Drosophila melanogaster: one gene and its partners. The protein of the gene in region 1 purifies or fractionates together with the protein of each later gene. This does not show direct contact. Each region holds a gene or a part of one and is shown in the gene's direction. Other genes may lie near its edges. The genes, in order: Sar1, Tango1 and Sec16.

The links.
Region 2: the proteins of Sar1 (region 1) and Tango1 purify together in Drosophila melanogaster (affinity purification with western blotting, with the first as the bait; one study listed by BioGRID). This does not show direct contact.
Region 3: the proteins of Sar1 (region 1) and Sec16 purify together in Drosophila melanogaster (affinity purification with western blotting, with the first as the bait; one study listed by BioGRID). This does not show direct contact.

What each region holds. Positions count from the first base shown.
Region 1 is NT_033777.3:22,354,569-22,361,211, forward strand, and holds Sar1 (Secretion-associated Ras-related 1), read left to right. Parts: upstream 1-2,116; 5' UTR 2,117-2,230; exon of another isoform or gene 2,231-2,479; intron 2,480-2,948; exon of another isoform or gene 2,949-2,962; 5' UTR 2,963-3,060; coding exon 3,061-3,103; intron 3,104-3,803; coding exon 3,804-3,923; intron 3,924-3,994; coding exon 3,995-4,060; intron 4,061-4,956; coding exon 4,957-5,192; intron 5,193-5,268; coding exon 5,269-5,385; 3' UTR 5,386-6,143; downstream 6,144-6,643. Other genes in the region: rdhB (retinol dehydrogenase B), read left to right, coding at 1,124-1,259, 1,381-1,557; JMJD6 (jumonji domain containing 6), read right to left, coding at 6,501-6,643.
Region 2 is NT_033779.5:6,647,518-6,655,078, forward strand, and holds Tango1 (transport and golgi organization 1), read left to right. Parts: upstream 1-1,870; 5' UTR 1,871-2,015; coding exon 2,016-2,163; intron 2,164-2,269; coding exon 2,270-4,378; intron 4,379-4,490; coding exon 4,491-4,927; intron 4,928-4,979; coding exon 4,980-5,112; intron 5,113-5,235; coding exon 5,236-5,860; intron 5,861-5,917; coding exon 5,918-6,019; intron 6,020-6,077; coding exon 6,078-6,816; 3' UTR 6,817-7,057; downstream 7,058-7,561. Other genes in the region: CG31633 (uncharacterized protein), read right to left, coding at 7,380-7,496, 7,553-7,561. UniProt on the Drosophila melanogaster protein: Required for protein secretion. May participate in cargo loading by binding to COPII coat subunits and guiding SH3-bound proteins into a growing carrier.
Region 3 is NC_004354.4:12,594,102-12,599,166, forward strand, and holds the start of Sec16 (secretory 16), read left to right. Parts: upstream 1-1,945; 5' UTR 1,946-2,133; intron 2,134-2,574; exon of another isoform or gene 2,575-2,636; intron 2,637-2,799; exon of another isoform or gene 2,800-2,868; intron 2,869-3,244; 5' UTR 3,245-3,251; coding exon 3,252-5,065. Other genes in the region: CG1824 (uncharacterized protein), read right to left, coding at 1-791, 867-1,230, 1,396-1,445.

The sequences.
Region 1 (6,643 bases):
AACATGATATGTAGACTTACCATAGGGAAACCTTAACGAACCATTTTAATATGCTCTCGAGTAACCTCCACATTCCTACCACTTTTTACCACGCAATCGGAAAGTGCATCATCGAAGTGCATTAAAGACACACCGTAAATACGCATTTCCCGGAATTTTCATACGCATTTTTCCGGCATAATGAGCAGCGGACACAAGCGTATTGTCCGCAATCGAATACAATTGAGCAATGCGGACAGGCAAGGAAAGCGGGAAAGGGCAGTGGAAACTGAGACTTCGAACTTTGCAAACGTTAATTAATGAGAAAATGTATTTATTTGGCGGCGTTGCGAGTCAAAGAGAATTCCGTTCTGGAAACGTAGCCGAGGCGTTGCTAATGAGCATGTGACGTTTCGGGGGGCCTGTGTCTGTGTGTGTGTCAAGGGGCTTGACAGGTGGGCAGTGGAAGTTGGGCGGTCGTCCATATGCATTTCGCTTAATGTCAGTGCAATAATATTAAGACTTAATTAATTAAAAACTGCAAGGGTATGCCGGCCGCCCAGCATCTGCAGCAACGTTGGCAATTGTTTGCATTTAATGCCCCCGGCTCAGAGCCGTAAGTACCACCCCGTGCTCTTCCAAATGCACTCGAAAAAAAGGATACTCGAATGAATGCCTTCATAAAAATATCAGTTTAATTAAATTAAATATCTTGTAGCAAATATAAAAACTAGTTGTAACTTATAATTCCCTTATTTTTCCAAAAATTTCGCATTCAATCAAAATATTATAGCACAAGTTTTTAAGTCTTTTCTTGCTTTTTCGTCAGGTGTGGGGGTAAAATTAAAAGAAGTTTACGCAATGTTTGCATAAAATGCACGCAAAAATGTCCCGTCAGCTGCTGACCATCATTTTCCGTAGGTGTTCGACGGCGACTTGTTTTTTGTTGCCGTTTTAAGTGCTTGAAATCCGTTGTGTTGACTTTATTTACCCACGCACACCCGCCGTTTGTGACCCCGCTTTGTCTTTATTTTCCATCCCCGACGCACCGCCATACCTTGGCATGTGGACGATGCTCATGCTACTCCTCCGCCTCCTCCTTCGCTCTGCTCTGGACATGTGTATGGACAACATTTGACAACAGCGTGCTTGGCCATCGGATTCCGGAAGTGCCGGTGCCCTTATTCAGCGTTTATCCGGCCACGAAGCATGCAATTACGGCCCTCTGCCAAACGGTGCGCCAGGAAATACATTTTCTCAAATTAAATATTAAATTAACGGTAAGTTAAATGCAGTGCATACATGGCGCGCCTCATCCTCCATCTTAATCCTCGGGAAATGCGGCAAACATGACGCGTCTGCTCATTGGTTACCCTCTCCATTTTTATCCCTCCATTGCAGAGCATTTGCCCGGGCATGGTAGACACGGATTTCCTTAGTGTTTACTCGCAGGCGGTAGCCGAGCTGCCCAAACTGCAGGCAAGGGATGTGGCCAAGGCCGTGTTGTATGCGCTGAACACTCCCGATGGCGTCCAGGTGGAGGACATCATCCTGCAGCAGATGCGGAAGGTCGATTGAATTTTAGTTTGAATTTCAAGAGAATTACATTTTACCCAAAACGATATTATTTGTACATTTTGTATATGTTCTTCTATGTAATAAGAGAACAAATGTACATATTTTTAAATATAAAAAATTACATTATTGCATTTCAAGCAACTGTTTCGACACTTTATATTCTTTAAGATGTTATCTGTAGATAACATCTGTATTAACATCTTATTACAAATAACATAAAAATGCAATAAAACGATAATTAAACATTTATAATATTTTGCATATTCTCTAATCGATATAACATTAAATGCGTGTAAATAGTTTGGCAACATTATGAATGCATTTATACATTCATTCATTTGAATTGGAATTGCCCGCGCATGTAGTGGAGTTGCCACCTTGCGGTAGGGCTGCCAGATTGAGTCAAAAGACCAGGGCTGTACAGCTATCGCTAGCGAGTACAACAACCACTCTTGATTTGGCTCGCTTCGCTCTAGCAGAGTTATCCACCAAAACATCGATTACTCGTGCTACCCCCAAAATCGATGGTACGAAACAAACATCGATATTTCACAGCTTTCGCTTATTGGTCACACTGGGGCTTATGATTAAAAAAAACTGAACTGACTCCAATAAAAACGTGAGGTAGAAAAAGCGAATTAGGTTGACAATTAATACACACAGCAGACGCACGGTAACCAGCCGCCAATACCGATACGAACGCGCGGCGGCAACAGCAAGTGCGCAAGTAAAAGTCCATATCAAACGCAAGCTACCCGCAGCCGCGGGCAGTTAAATTCCGAAATGCGTCCACGTAGTGCAAAATCCGAATCTCAATTCGAATTCGAATCGGAAGTCCGGATGTCTGCGCCCTTTTTATGCTTTTTTCGAGGGTGCGGCTTAGATCGGCGTGCACCTGCCGTCCAAAGTGTGATTACGAAATGTGCTCCAACGTGAAATGATATTATAAAGTATAATATAATGCATGTTACCACGTAGTTGCACACAGACAGGCAGCACACGCACACACACGCGCACACCCAGTGCCACTCACACACACACACAGACAGTGAGCGAGCGAGAGGGCAGGAGGCAGAGAAAGAATGAAATAAAGAAAGTGCTGCCCAGTTGACAAAGAACAGGTTTTAACCTAATTAACTAAATAATGGGCCCAAGTGAATGTTTCGCCGCCAGGAGGAATTTGCTTCCTTATATCCGCAAGGTCCCCGCCGCTCGAGTGTGCGTGTTGTTGTATGTGTGTCAAGGTTCCGGAAGTTGAGCCGCCGTAAAATTGATTTCCTATACACCAAGCCGCTGTTGCTGCCGCTGCTGTTGTTCTTATTGTGTTTCTGTGGCTGGACATTGAACTTGAGTCGAAATGCGCACTAACCCATTATCCATGCCATATCTCTTTTCGATCCGGCAGCCGTCTAGCCCAGCAGCTCTCTTCCCCCCACAATAAACACACACAAGCTGCTCTTGGAGCCAATCACCCGCAACCGATAGCCACACGAAACCATCAGGATGTTCATCTGGGACTGGTTCACCGGAGTGCTGGGATACCTGGGTAAGCAACGTCGCCATTGCCGACCTTGTGCCTTGGGGCGGCGTTTCTTGAACGAGTGCCAACAAGGCAGCCGCACAAAAGAAACCCAAATTCGACGGCTGTACAGCGGAGGTCGTGGTGATAGCTCTAAACGTGCGATTATCTCGAAATCTAGAGGTTAAACTGTGTCTATAAGGTGTCGAAAGCTTATAACTTTCCATTAGGTCTCTCTATCACAACAAATGCGCGTTGAATATGCATTACTCTAGGGTGCATATACAATATACACTTCTGTAAAAGGTATTTTGATTGCATAGCCATGTACTCTTCAGCCACAATTATTTAAGCAGACATTTTTGATAGGGTTTTCCTCGCTTCCAGATGGCTGCTACACTTTTATTTGCTTTGTAATGCTAAAAGTTAAAATTATTCCATACGAAAAGTACTGTTCTACAGTGCAGGCCAAACTGATAGCAGTTGTTATAAGCGCATTTTTGTTATAGCTTGATCTTTAATCAGGTTAATGATAGCCGAACATTTTGGGTAGCAAAGGTAATAATTAGCCCGAAGTCCAAGAGCTATTGTCTCGACCTCAAATGTATATTCGGCTGTCTGTGGCTGGGCAAACACAAGTGAGCCGCCACTAGTGTTAGTTTAGCTGCGTATATTAATTGATGACGCGTAAGTCAAAAGGCTATTCAACACACTTTCTCGTTTTCAGGTCTGTGGAAAAAGTCTGGCAAATTATTGTTCCTGGGCCTGGATAATGCTGGCAAAACCACACTCTTGCATATGCTCAAAGATGATAAGCTGGCGCAGCATGTGCCCACACTGCATCCAAGTGAGTTTCCTTCATGGACTAAATAGTGGTTATGTGTGTGACTTTAATTAACTAATATGATTGACTTGCAGCATCCGAGGAGCTGTCCATCGGCAACATGCGCTTCACTACATTCGACTTGGGTGGCCACACTCAGGGTAAGTGCCTAATCTTGACCAGAGCTCAGGGGAATGTGAATGTGCATCCAAATCGTTGCTATTTTCCGTACGTGCCCACGACTAAATATAGACCAGTATGCAAATATCGCAGGGCTAAGCAAGCGCAGCCGCCAGATCCACGACAATCAGCATGAAATATAGCGCATCAGGTCACCCATACAGCCAGTGCGTCTTACACTCGTAGCATTTGTTGCGATCAATCAGCGCCACACACTCGAAGCAATGCCACCACAGTGGTCACAAGCAGCTCATCCAGAGATCTCAATTATCATCTTATCTCAACTGTGATTATGAAGACCTCAGAATACTAGAATATTTAACCCATTGCATACAATCAATATGTTCATTTATGTTTAGAAAGCAATTAGTGTCTTGTTGATTTTCGCAAATACTATCTTCCTTACCACTGTGCACATATAGGCGACGTATTTATTATTAATATTATGAAGGCAAACATTCTCTATGTAGATAACAAACAGAAACGAAAAACTCGCATACATGCAGTTGATATATGTATATAAATATGAACATTATGAAAAGTGATCAAACATCGTGAAATCCAGTTGTTTTGATAACGAAGCTCTAGCACTCATTTTAAGGCAGCTCGTCATCGTGACGATCGTTTTCGCTTCGGAACTACTAGGTACACTAAAGTAGAAAGGTTCTTAGCGGCGGAAAGATATCAGATTTGTGCCTGATATCAGTGACTTGCGCTTTGTTATTCTAGCGATGTTATATAAATTACAGATTGTTGGTCAACAGCAGCGACTACTAAGGTGCCCTTGCAAATCTTGATTCAAAAATCGGAAGACTAACCCATCTAAAGACTAACTGCTGCTTTTGTATTTATGAGACATATCTACTTATTTCTGCAGCACGACGCGTCTGGAAGGACTACTTCCCTGCTGTGGACGCCATCGTTTTCTTAATAGACGCCTGGGACCGTGGCCGCTTCCAGGAGAGCAAAAACGAGCTGGATTCGCTGCTCACGGATGAGGCGCTGTCCAACTGCCCCGTGCTCATATTGGGCAACAAAATCGATAAGCCCGGCGCGGCTAGCGAGGATGAGCTGAGAAACGTGTTCGGACTGTATCAGCTAACAACCGGCAAGGTGAGCACCAAAACCACCTCCCTCCCTCCCTCCCTCCTTACTCCTGCTACATAATTGATATCCATTTGACTTGCAGGGCAAAGTTGCACGCGCCGATTTGCCCGGCCGTCCTCTGGAATTGTTCATGTGCTCCGTGCTGAAGCGACAGGGCTACGGCGAGGGTTTCCGTTGGCTGGCGCAGTATATCGATTAAGTCAGCATTAGCAACCACCACCAGCACCATATTTTCAAGAACACCACTCAACACTCAAAACCGAAAACTTGGCTACAAAATTTCCAAAAATGATTAGAGACCGCAGAAAGAACAGAACCCAAGGGATGTGAACCCAGCCCAATTCAAACCGTCAGACCTTAAGCAAAACGAAGCTGCGTGCGCAATTTCTAATTTATACAAAACAATTACAAATATTTCATAATAATAAAAAAAAAAAAACAGAAAACCATACAATGTACATCTGTAACACACAAGAAATCGCGGGAAAAACAGAACACAACATCAAAGTGAAGACAACTTTTCTATCTGGAACATCGGGATACATTGTAAGGAGCTGAAGGATGCGCGGAGTGCGCAAGGGAAACTTTTAATAATAATTATGAGTAACAAATTATAGCAAATTAAAGGTGATTTATTTAAGAGCATGTGCTTTCAACGAACGCTGTTTCGCCAATAAAATGTAGCCACCTACCTTTATTTCAAGTTTATGAATTGTAAATGTCGCTATTGATTTCCTAAATAGTTTACTTTGGCCGCAAAACATTATGTACATCCCTATAAGGATTCGACCTCCGATAAATGGTACACCTTAGTTTAGCTAAAAATTTTAAGTTGCATGTCATCGATGTACTTTGTTTCTTTTATACAATACGAAAGGGAAAGCAATTTATATAAAAAAGCATTTTTGTTTGCAGACAGAATTCTAAATAAAACGGAGAAAAGTAATTTTGTAAAATACATAAATTGGTGACTATTGTTGTTTTGCATTGGATTTATGTGCCGAGCTTGAATGAAACCCAGCGATGTACAAACATATTGGATTCATTTATTTATTTGCATTTAGGGTTTACGCTAATGAGTCACGTCCGGAGCATCTATTGAAATCAGGGAGCAGGCATTCGATGAGGGCGAGCACGGGATCCAGGAGCTGCAAACATGCTGGTCCAAGTAGAAAAATACACAAAACTCTGCAGAGTATGATCGCGACCTCAGTGCTAACTGAGCCGGCAGCGGCGGGGCAGTCCTCTCAGCAGCATCAGTTGGCGTTGAAAGAGGCGCATGAGCAAGCCCTTGCGCTTGGCCCGCTCCCTGGATCAGGAACGCGATGATCCGCCCATGGAGCCGGACCCGGAGCCGCCGCCAGCCATGCGCCGCTTCTTTTTCTTCTTGGCCGTCAGACTCTCCTGGCCGCTGTCCGTGTTGGAATCGCCGCCATCGTCGCTCTCCTCCTCCTCCG
Region 2 (7,561 bases), on another chromosome or scaffold:
GTTTGCGATTGTTGTTTGTTATCGCTTTTCCCCTCTGCACTTTTCGCATTTTTGTTTACGTGCCTCTGCAAGTGTGGGTGTGTGTGCGGCTGTACTGCGTGCAAGTGTGAGTGTGTATTTTTGTGGGAATAACACGCGCCCTGTTGCATGCAAAACTCAAATTAAAAGGCAAATTGCAATTGGTAATTACACAGGCAGTCGAAAGGGACAAACAATTGCACGCTCTTACTGCTCACTTTTCCTCGAATTTTGTTTTAGAATAAATACACAAATTACGTCACGCATGTCGGAGGACTACTGAGTTGTTAATGTTTTTTGCGAAGTTTTTCTTTGATTTCCGTGTTTCTTTTGCTCTCCACTTTTATCAGTTTCGGTCAAGATATTTGTATTTGATTTTACGCACCAAGGCTTGGCGCACTTTGTTTCCACGCACCCAAATCTCTTCTTTTTTTTGTTATACAACTTTTGGCGAAGGATTACTCTTTGTGCAGCCAATCAGTTTATGTGGCGTTTTATAGGGCATTTAACAGAACCGCGCTCCATTCAGCATAGCGTGCAGCTATCGACCATTAGGCATCCGCGACCCAACAACAACCGATCACAAAGACGTTGAAAATGCGAAAGATAGAAATAGAAACTGAGTTGCGCATTTTCATGCTGTGTCCAACGGGCGGTGTTGCCAGACTGCCCGCACGCAGGTTTGTGATAAAGGACTGTTTATGCTAAGTTAGAATTCTTGAATTTCATGAAATTACGAATTACGATCGAAATACGTTAACACCAATAATTTCAAAACAAGCATATTCTGAAGCAAGACCGTTTTTCCAATAACTGGACATTGATTATTATAATTAATAAAAGTGATTGAATTAAAACTGAGCTAAAAATAATAGCCCTATTATAGTTTTAGTTCTTTAAAAATTTTTTGAATTGGCGACGTGTAAGCCATTTTAAACTCTGCCGACGATCTGGCAACCCCTCCACGTGTGCTCTTTTCACGCACCCTCTCGCTCACACTCCCTTAAATCGCAAGCAACATACAACATCAAAACAATAAGTTTCTGTACACATGCTCCCGGATTTTCACTTAAATTAGCATCTTAATTATAAACTGCACAAGTTATTGGTTTTAAGGCTACATTATCGGGCATATCACACAAAGTTATCCGCTGCTCTCTTAATCGCTCTCTGAATTCCACAATATGATGTCAGAGGAAACCTTTTTCCGTACACTTCGTAAGGTAATAATAAATTGGAATCCAATACGCCAGCTTTCACTGAGTACTTTGTTGGACACCGGCGACTTTTTTCTAAAAAGCTAGCCCAAATTTTGCGCGTTACATTTTCGGGTGAAGTGCATAAAGGAAAAAAAAAACAAACTTCAATTTTCAAGGTCACTGCTGAAGTTTTCCAGCCACACACACGCACATAGTCCTGTCGTTTGCCACCCACTGCAGCACTCAGAGCGTTCCGAAACCGAGCATTAGGATTATTCAAAGTGAAGAGGCTTACTTCGCACTCAAATTTAGTTACTGGGTTTACAAAATTTCCTCCGATGGAGCCGCGAAACTGGCGAAACAATTTACGAGCTCTGGCCAGTGTTACCAACTGCTCCAAGTTCTCTATATCTGAGTTATTTCGCACAACGCTATCTGGCGCGCATAGTATATGGCATTCGCACTGAGTCGAAAAAGATAGCAGATACTGTGAACTAGAATTCAGATAACTTAAACAGAATGTATTTAAAACATATAAATTTCAAAGGCCATTAAATACAGCAATAAGATTTGATAATAAATCATATCTGTGGAATAGTTGAAACAGACCCGAAATGCCCCTTTCCTATTTCGGTATTTTTCTGAGGCCACACAGCATTCCTTGGCGCACCCAGTACGGTCACACGAATGAAAAGCCAACTCAGCTGAAAGTGAACCCATTTTTATACACAAAAAATTAGTAGCTGCAGCGAAATAAGTTGATTTCACACGACCACTGCGCCCCGAAAACAATGCAAAATGCGGCTGACCAACGAGAAAGCAACAATGCAGCCCCAGCTGAGTGATTTGGCCCTGGTCCTGGGCCTGTTGATCTGCTGTCTTCCAACTTTGACGTGGGCTGCGACTCTCTCCGACAAGCGACTGTGCGCCGACCCGAAATGTGAACGTAAGTTGTAATCTATGGCCAGACAAGTCAGCCTTGGACCTCCGGCACAGCCATGTCTCTTAAAATTGCATAATTAATTTTGCGTTTGTCTGGTTTATGCTTGCAGAAATCATTTCGATGGGCATTGCCAAAATCACCTACGCCATTGGTGGTGAGGGGCTGATATCCTTCAAAATCAACTCCCCCATCCGCGTCCTGTCCAAGAGCGCCGGTTCCAATATGCAACTGTGGGGTGTGGACATCAATGGGCGGCGCGGCTATGCCAATAAGGACTTTATCATGGAAAAGAAGATCCTCGTCCGGGATAAGGATCTATTGTACGAGGTGCCAGTGGTGGGACCTGGTAGTCCAGTGCAGTCAGTGGAGACACCAGTTCAGAGCGTCGAGACGACAGTGCAGCCTGTTCTTAACGCCTCTGAGTCAACCGATGATCTGGCAACGACTACAACGTCACCACTTGAGATAGCCGTTGATTCAATAGTGGTTGAGCACGACAAGCTGCAGGATCAGCAGGTTCCTGATCCTACTGCGGCTTCCAAGGCCCAAGTGCAGGTTATAGAAGGAACTGAGCTTCCCCTGGAGGCCATTGCAGCTACAACGGAAGGTAGCATTGTTCCAGAGACGGCAGCAGACCCCCAAGAAGCAACAAATCTCGACTCGACAGTTGTTGATACGAAAGAGCCACAGGCATTAAATTCGGAGGCCATTAAATTGCAGGAAGAGCCAAAAGCACAGCAACCTGCCACAGAAGCTGAGAAACCTCCCCCACTGCCCCAGGCTATCAACGCTGAACTGGAAGACGCTGACGATTTCGATTACGGGGATGACGAGACAGATGACGACTCCCAACAAGGTAGTCAAGATAACGAATCGATCGTAGAGATAGCAAACGATAACAAATCAATTAACGAATCGATTGAACTGAAACCACTTTCGGTCGCGCAACTGAAGAAAACAGATAAAGTGGAGGATTCAAAGGATGAGACTAAAGAAAAGCATGCAGAAATGGAAGTCTCCAAGCAGGAAGATTCTTCCTTACCCACTGAGACCTTAAATGTGACGGCACTCGAAGAGCAAATTGATCAGAAGGAATTTCCGAAGCAGGTACTGGATGCAGCCGTGGAATTAAAGTCGTCAGATCCTCTGCCAGTTGAGGAGGTCACCGAAACTGTGGCTGAGCCACCACGAACGATTGTCGAAGATAAAATTAATGAAGAAATAGTTCCGGTTTCAGCTAAAATCCAAGCAAAGCCTGCAACAGTTAACCCTACCGAACCTATTGTTGCTCAATCTGATGCGGAAATAAAAGCGCCATCTGAGTCAGTAATCAGTTCAACCACTCCCGCTCCTGTCGTTGAAGAGGCACCACAGAAAGCAGATCCTGTTGGTCTGCCGCCCCTCTTTGAAAAGAAGAACTTTGAGAATCCCAATAATTATTACAAGCAATTGCAGGAGGAACAGGAAAAACAGAGACTAGTTGCAGAGGCGGAGGAGCAAAAGCGTTTACAAGAGGAAGCGGATCAGCAGAAGAGGTTGCAAGAGGAAGCTGCGCTGAATAAAAGGTTACTCGAAGAAGCCGAGCAACAGAAAAGGTTACAAGAGGAAGCGGAGCAGCAGAAGAGATTGCAAGAGGAAGCTGAGCTGAATAAAAGGTTACTCGAAGAAGCCGAGAAACAGAAAAGGTTACACGAAGAATCAGAGCAGCTGCAGCGCTCAAGTGAGGAAGCGGAGCCACAACTGAGCGTTCAGGAAGCCAACATGCAGCAGCTTAATGACTCTGTGGATTCGCAGTCCAACGAAATCGTTGATAACAACAATAGGCAGCAGCCAGAGCAATATCAGCAGCACCATCATCATACAGAAAGTGCCTTTAATCATCCATCGACTGCATCACATACAACTCCAACGCCTGACGCCGAATCACCGTACGCAGCAGTCCAGGAGGAGACCACAGAAGCATCCCAAACGGATAACCATCGTGAGGGAGTTGGTTACGTGGAGCCTGTAGCTCTGCCAGCGACGGCTAGCCCCGTGTCGGAAGTACCTATCAAGGAGGACGCCGCAGGCTTTGGTCTCTTTGCCACAATTGTCGACACCGTAAACAATTTTATCGGAAAGGATCCTCAGAGTGATCCAGCAGATAGCAGCGATGAATTGCATAGAATCCTCTATCCAGGAAGGCCTGAAGTGCCACCTTCTCAAAGGAAGGCGGAAGGTGATGCTTATTCATTTACTAAATCATTATTACCATACGATTCTTCAGAAATTAGAGAGAATATCCGGTCCGGTTTTGTTACATACTATACCTTTTTTTTTACATATTCCAGACTTTGCTCCTGCCGATGTGGATGGATATTGTGCCCGGTTTCAAGCCAAAGATGAGCACTGTCATCGCTCTATATCTCTTGATAATTTTGTTGAAGTAATGGCCGACAAGCTGGTTGACCACAGCCAACTTTTACTTTGCGTGGTTATCGCCGCGATTTCTTCCTTGTTCTTCATGTTTGCATACTACTGCTTCTGCAATAGTAGTCAGGAGGGAGCGCTTCTTTCGAAGCTGAACCATTTGGAGCGCAGTCTGTTGGCCTCCCACAAGGAGAACCTGATCATCAAACACGACCTGATGACTACGCGAACAAAGTTGGCCAGCATTGAGGACAATTCCTTCGGCTCAAACGACATGGTGGCCGATCTCAAGAAGCAACTTGAATCTGAGCTGTACGAGAAGGCTAAGCTGCAGGAACAGGTTGGCTCATTAGAAAGGGTAGGTCCATATTATTTAATCAAATAAACGCTTACAAGGATCTCTTTACAAGGATCTGGATAACGCGGCTGAGGCTGGCCTGGAGCTCAACAAGATGCTGTCCGAAGTCCTTAACGGTCAGAATGGCGATGAGGCTTTCATGAGCACCGTCGACGAACTGCAGCGACAGCTTAATGACCAAGAAAGTGAGGAACCGCCGTTGATTAATACTTATACTAATGTGACTTTTTGATGACTACTTATTTAACCATTTAGTATCCAAAGCAGTTTCCTGTTCAATGCAGATTCTAACTCCATAACTTTTGCAGAGATCATCATCGAAATCAACAACAGTCTGGCCGAGAAAAGTAGGGAGAACAGCGAACTGCAGTATACGTTTACGGAGGCCACGACTCGGCTCAACAGCGAGCTGAAGACGCTACAAGAGGACAACTACGAGTTGGAGATGGAGAAGTCTAAGCTGCAAACTCGTCTTCAGGAAATTCAGGCTGAAACGGAATCGGAATTGGCCAAGGCACTGGAAGCCAGAAATTACGAAATGCAAAAGCTGCAGAATCAGATTGTTGAGCTGACTGTCAAGTGGGAGCGCGAACATGGCGATCTGCAGACCAGTCTAGCAAAGATCGAAGCTCTCGAAGATTGCCTGAAGGCAGTCGGAAAGGATGCGATCCACAATGTCCAAGAGCTGATTACCTCGGCCAAGACACGCGGTGAACTCAACGCGGTCCATAAGAAGCTGGTCGAGTTGCAGTCGAAGGTGGAGCAAGAAGAGGCCCACAAGCAACGTCTGGAGAGTCAGCTGCAGCAGTCAAGTCAAGATGTGGAGCAGCTGAAGCAGGACTTCAACCAATCAGAGCGCGATAAGCTAGAAGCCCAGACGCGTCTTGAAGTCTTATCCGGCTACTTCAGGGAGAAGGAGAACGATCTTAAGAAGTAGTTTATCAAGAAACACATTTGAGGAAAGTCTTTATCTCTTAATTACCATTTCAGAGAACTTAGTCTGCAGGAGACCAAGTGGCTGCAGCACCAGGGAGAGAATGCCAGCACAGTTGAGACCCAGACGCTGATGAAGAACGAAATCCAAACTCTGAAGTAAGTCAAAATCGCGCATTATCGCTTTCAAGAAATGTTAAAATCCATTTCGCCTTAGATCTCAGAATGACGAGCTGCGTGCCGAGATCGAGGCCCAGATAGCCTCGCACAAAGCTCAGATGGGCACGCTGGAGAACCGAGCTCATGAGTCCTGGCTGGCAGCGCGCCAGTCGGAGCGCCGTTGCGAAGAAGCGTTGGCCGAAGCTGCCAGCCTGAGGCGTAAGCTGACCACAATGGCCAGCGGCGGAGGAGGAGTAGGCGGAGATCCAGGCGTAATGGAGGCCATCGCCGCCAACGGAACTTCCGTGCTGGGGGCGGAACTGAAAACGGCTCCATCGCCGCTTCCCTTGCCGGGTTCACCACTGCTGAACATGCCAAATCCACTGCCATTCCTGGCGGCACCCTTCTCACCGTTCATGGGTCTGCCGCCGCCATTCCTGCCTCCAACTGGAGCGGGAGGGGCACGTCCTCCGCCCCTGGGACGCATGCGCTCTCCGCCGCCCTCGAGTCGCGGCGATCGGGATCGAGAGCGTTACTCAGACTACAGCGACTACGATGACTACGACGACGATGAGGAGGACGACCGGGGCATGGACCGTCGTCGACGGCACAGCGGCAGCTGGGGTCGCCGGCATCGCGGCTCCTACAGCCACTCGCCGCGCACATATCGCTCGCTATCACCGTCGGACAGTCGGTACAACTACAATGACACGGAGACTGACTTCAGTCCGCCCCCAAGTCCGCCGCCCGTTCCGTCGGGACGCAGCGCGACATCGCGACCCTACAGCGAGGTATGAGGAGCAGGGTGTGCCCGTGCAACCAAGTCCTACCAAGTATATTAGACTCAAAACTAGTTCAAATATATTTATTAATCAACGATTATCGAACGGTGGGATCGGGGCGGGTCGGGACGACCTCTCAAACCGATTCCCCAAAACAGGGATCTCAGGAGAGTTCGTGAACAACTAAGAAAACTCCTGTCTCAGCGGTGAATGATATCCAAGAAAATTGAAACAAATTAAACGCAATGACAAACACAAATCCAATGTGAGCTGTTTTTACTGTGGAATTGAAAAATATTCATTTTCTCTGAACAAACATTTTTAAATAATCAGCATGGCACATTTTTAATATGATATTAATTTCTGAGAGGTAAGATTATGTATTATACATCATTTATTGAAAACTACAAATAATTGAATACACGAACTTAGAACCGGTTTATATTTTTATATTATATTTATATATTATTATCAGCAATCATTTTAATAACCAGCTTATCGACGAAAGACTTATCAATTAAATAGCACAATTTTGGTCCGTTTAGATAATAGTTAACTAAGCTAGTTAACTTAGTGAATCACGACTCGGGGCGTTTAAATTCCAATTCAATACATTCGTCAGGTAATTGTGAATAGCTGCTACTAGTAGCACTGAAGGAAACATTAAGTTTGGGATGTTTAAAGTGCTTCGAAACCTGCGAAAGAGTATGAGTTTTAGGATCAGTACTTTATAAATCAGTTATGTACGCACCAAGTCATC
Region 3 (5,065 bases), on another chromosome or scaffold:
ATCAGAGCACCCGGCGACAGACTCTCCGTAGACATGAGGTGGCCGCCCATAAAGAGCGTAGATAGGACTAGTGTATTGAGGAAGAAGTTGGTCAGGCCCTGGAAGATTGCGATGCCGTAGCCGAGTTTCTGCGCCAGGCGAGCCGCCTCATTGGTCTCCGCCTCGAACAGCTGCATCTCGCGGTATTCACAGGCACTGGATCTAACCGTTCGGATGTTGGACAGCGCCTCCTCGCAGACACCCGTCGCTCGTTCCGCCTGCGCCTGTGAGCTTTTGCTTAGAGAGCGCAGTTTCTTGCCCAAATACGTCATGAACATAACCACGCACGGAACGCTGGCCAGCGCAATGGCGGCCATGTGCGGTGAAATCATGAAGAGCGATATACTGCCGCCAATCAGCTGGGCAGCACTTCGCAGTCCCTGGGAGACGAACTGCTTGAACGAGGTCTTGAAGTCCTGTACATCGGCGGTTAGTCGATTGACCAGCTCGCCCGTTCGATTCTCATCGAAGAATGCGATGTCCTGGACGACAATCTGCGTGAACAGATCCTGCCGCATCTTGGCTGCCATCTGCTCACCGACGCGGCTCAACAGGTAGATGTACATAAAGGTGAAACCAGATTGCAGCATGTATAGGCTCAGCAGATTGCTGGCCGGTTTGCTCACGTCCTTTACGAACGAGTTGTTAATCGGATCCATCACGTACGTGTTGGCATATCTGGCCAGTGTGTTTACCAGGTCACCGAGAAGATTTGGGATGCGTATGTTGATATAAGCCACTATCAGGGCGGCCTGCAAATGAAATTAGCTAAATATTTTGACAAATGCTACACCTGTTCGTGGGCTTTTTGTGATCCAAGAACTCACGCATACGGCCCCGATCAGCTCCCAGAGATGTGGCTCCAAGTAGGTCCACAAACGCTTCCAGTCGAAGTGCTGCTCCGACGCAGTGTCCTCCTCCTCCTCCTCCTTTCGAATGGCCAGCCGGCTGCCTTCGCAATGAACGATCGCTCCGCGATGCCCCGCCCACCAGGAACGGGCGCCCAGACCGATAGCTAAACTACCACCGCCCCACACAAGCAGGCGTGTCGTCTGCAGCAGGCGGCTGGCATTTGTGGGCGGTATCGCGGGCGGTTGGGGAGCGTTCGTTCCACGCAAATGTTGGCGCATCAGGCGGGCGGCATTCTGGAGGCGTGGCAGTGGCTGCTGCGTGGGCTGCAGCAGGTGGCGACTAAACAAAGCGAAATAGGCGGTTAATAATAGGTTGGCTGATTGATGACATAACCGGAGTGAGGGCGAGGGGGAGTCGTTGTTTCCCCAATTCACTGCTGGCCGTAGCAGATCCTCGTGCGTCGGCGGCCCAGAACCTCGCCCGCGATGGTGACCCCTACTCTACCTAAATATGTCGCTGCTCCTGCCGCAATTGGACACGAGTAGGCGCAGCATCTCTTCTCGCGTGGCTTGCAAATATCAACAAAATACGCAAGCGTTAACGCATCACCTGGCGATAGACGCACAGGCATGGCTAGCGATGGGCAACTGTAAGCTATCGATTGTTCGGCGAGTCGTTAAAGGGGCATTGCTGATATTTTCCTGTTCAATATTTTGAATCCCCTTTTAATAATGATTCTACATGAAAAGTCTGAAGATCAATAATAAAAACCAACAGAAAAAATAGACTTATTTTAAAAACTTGCATTTGTCCATTTATTACTTTAAATGAGTATCGAAGTCTAGTTTCCAATGCAGCAAAAAATTATAAGTTTTATAGGATACGAGCAAGAAATGTGGAATTGATTTAATTTGTTTAATTGATTTATCGATTGAAAAGATTTATACATTTATATTAATACAAAATATTTAAAATGTAGGAATATATGATTTTTTAAGTGACCACTGTCCTGTCACACCAATCCAACTGTTTAGTGTCATCTCTATCTGCTGGCAGTCTGGCAACACCACGAAAGTCGAGTTGGCATTTGATTTCATTGCTGCGTTCGGATTGAAAAAATTTCATATTTAATTGTTTAACTCCCAAGAACGTCAGCAAACCAGTAACTTGTATAATATTTTTAGTTAAGTACAGCCGAAAAAAGTGCCGTACCGAGTGCGTGTAAATAAACAAGCGATTTGTGTAAGTCAGTGTGCAGCGTAAGCTAATTAGAAGAGAAAAAGGAGAGCTGTATGTGTGTTTGTGCAACCTACCTGCCTGCGAATGTGTGTTTACTCTCTCTCTCTCGTAATATTAGGCTGTGTTTTATTTTTATAAAAGATAATTGACAAAGCCACCTGAAAAGTGTTTTCTTTAGTTTATTGTGGCTAGTAAAAGCGATTGTGTGCTCAAAATTCGCAAAAAAACACCGGATTGCAACCCTGCGTATGGTTCTTTTTCGCCAAGAGAAAGAAAAAAGAGTGCTGTCTCTTTCTCTCCCTCACCGCTGCTCCAATTTTTTTTTTCAAGAGAGTGTTTTCACTTTTGACTTGCGAAGTGGTAAAAAAAACATTTAAAAATAAAAAAAAAAGAAATGAAAAAAGTATATTTAAGGTCAGATTCGAAAAATCAACTGCACAAATTATCAGCGGCTTAAAAAATAGGTAAAACAAAAAACCTGCTGCGTCAAGAGAACAACAACAAAAGTAAGAGAGCAATGAAACGGTGGTAACAAAACGAAGAAGAAGACCAGAAGAGTGTGGGAGGGAGAAGGGGCAAAATATGGCAAACGTCCACGTAAACTTTTAACTTTTGCTTTTCCGCTCATTGTGAGCTCTATAATATACCCTAAATTCTATTTTGTTCAGTATTCGATTGCGTATTTTCCATCACTCTTCACGGTTTCCAAGTGTCATTAAGGAAAATCCAAGAAAACGGGTAATTTTCCATCAAAACTGGTTTGGTTCATTGAACTGCCCCACAAAATCCAGCAACCACCCCCTGCAATCTCCCCGGAAAACTCCTTATAACACCTAGAAACCTTTTAAATATCTTGGGCGAAGAAACGAACACTTTAATATTAAGTTTTTTCGTTACCATACCATACCTTTAAACCCTTTTTTCGGTTGAATATCTCTTTTGGAAAATAAGCCTGTTCAAATTGCGGGTAAAGATATCTCTAGGGACCTGAAAACACCTTAAAAAGATATTTAAATTGACGATTTACCAGGATATTAACGTGATTTCTGTAGAAATAAGTAGGCATTCATTTTTGAGTTAAAAAGTTGACATCCTTTTGTTTTTCTTTGTTCAGATCCAAAATGTTGCACAATAATGCGCCCTGGCTGCCACCGCATCAGCAGCAGCAGCAACAGGCGCCGCAGCAACATCCTACTCCACAGCAGCAACATGCAATGCCCCAACAGCAGCAAACTCTTCCTGCCCAGCAGCAGCAGCAGCAAGTCTATGCCAGCCAAATGTTCCAGCAACATCAGCCAAATTATTGGCCAGAGGATCAGCATCAACAGCAGCAGCAGCCACAATCCCTGAACTACAATAACTACTTTCCGGGACAGCAGCAGCAACATCCTATGCAGCAGCAGCAACTGCCACCGCAGCAGCAACTGCCACCACAGCAGCAACAGCCTACGCAGCAGCAACATACAATCCAGCAGCAACTGTATTATCCCACTCAGCAGCAGCCACAAGTCCCGGCTCCAGCGGAACCAGCTCTGGACTCGTTTGACAACAATAATAGCGGAGGAGGTGGTGGTGGCGGCCGGAGCGATGGCTGGGGTGATTGGGGCGATTGGAACGACAATAGCAACAACAATAATAGCAACGGCACCGATGGCTTGTTAGAGCCAACCGGACAACTGCTGGAGGATTCCTTCAATGTTCAATCCTCGCAAGGCAGTTGGCAGGCGTTTGCCACTAGCAATAATGTCAATAACAATGGAGAGTTGCCGCCACCAGCCAATCCGCAGTCAACGTCCTTGCAACAACAGCCATTGAATCAGCAATCGATACCTTTGCTGCACCAGCAGCCACAATCGCCGCCGGAACTGGGGCAGGAACCCGAACTGGATGCCATTGTGCCTCCCCAGGCTTTCCAAAACCAACCACCAACTGCAGCACCACCACCAACATCACTGACTTCCTTCTCTGCACAAATGACTGCTGTGGGATCGCCAATCTATGCTGTTGGAGCATCTTCAGCACATAGCGCAGGAGTAGGAGCTTCACCAGCACCTCCCACTGGAGTAGTAGCTCCGCCAGCACATCTCGCCGGTATAGGAGCTCCACCAGCACATCTTGCAGGAGTAGGAGCTTCGCCAGCACCTTCCGCTTTAGTAGGAGCTTCTCCAGCACCCATCATTGGAGTAGGAGCACCACCAGTGGGAGCACCACCAGTAGGAGCACCGCCAGCGGACGCTACAACTATTGCACCACCGGCCGCACTGCCACCTAGCATAGTTCCATCGTCTGGTTCCAATCCCTTCAAGCGTTCCACGGGCCTAAATAAGCGAGTGAACATAATGGCAGATCCTGCAGCAGGAGCTCCATCGCCTCCAGCTCCTGCTGCTGCAATTGCTCCTGTGGCACCAGTAGCACCAATTCCGCCACCAGCAGATCAGCTCTTTGGTATGCCAGCAGAAGCTCATGGAGAGGGTTTCAACTTAATTGCGGCGCCACCTGTTGAGGCTTCACTTGGAACTCCACTAAGTGCACCTATTCCTGCACCCATTCCTGTACCTAACGCATCGCTCTATGCATCACCGGCTGTTCCACAGGCTTTTGCGCATTTGGAACCGGACAATCAGGAGGTTTTGTCCGCGCCAAATGACGAACGGGCCCAGTACTTGCAGACCAGCCACCTGTCCGAGCAGCTGGGCGAAGGTGAAGCGGATCAGGATGCGGGCCTGCTGCCACCACCAGGACTGTCTCGTCTGGTTTTGGGCCAACCGGAGTTGGATTCGCAGCAGCAACGCCAGGTCACTGGAGCCACAGAGCAGCCACCACTTAATGTGGCCCAGGCAGCTGCTCTGCATATGCAAGAACGTCGCGCAGATGGCGAGGACACCTCTGACGGCGAGCAGCAAGTGCGTAATATACAGACGCCACCTCGTCGCGT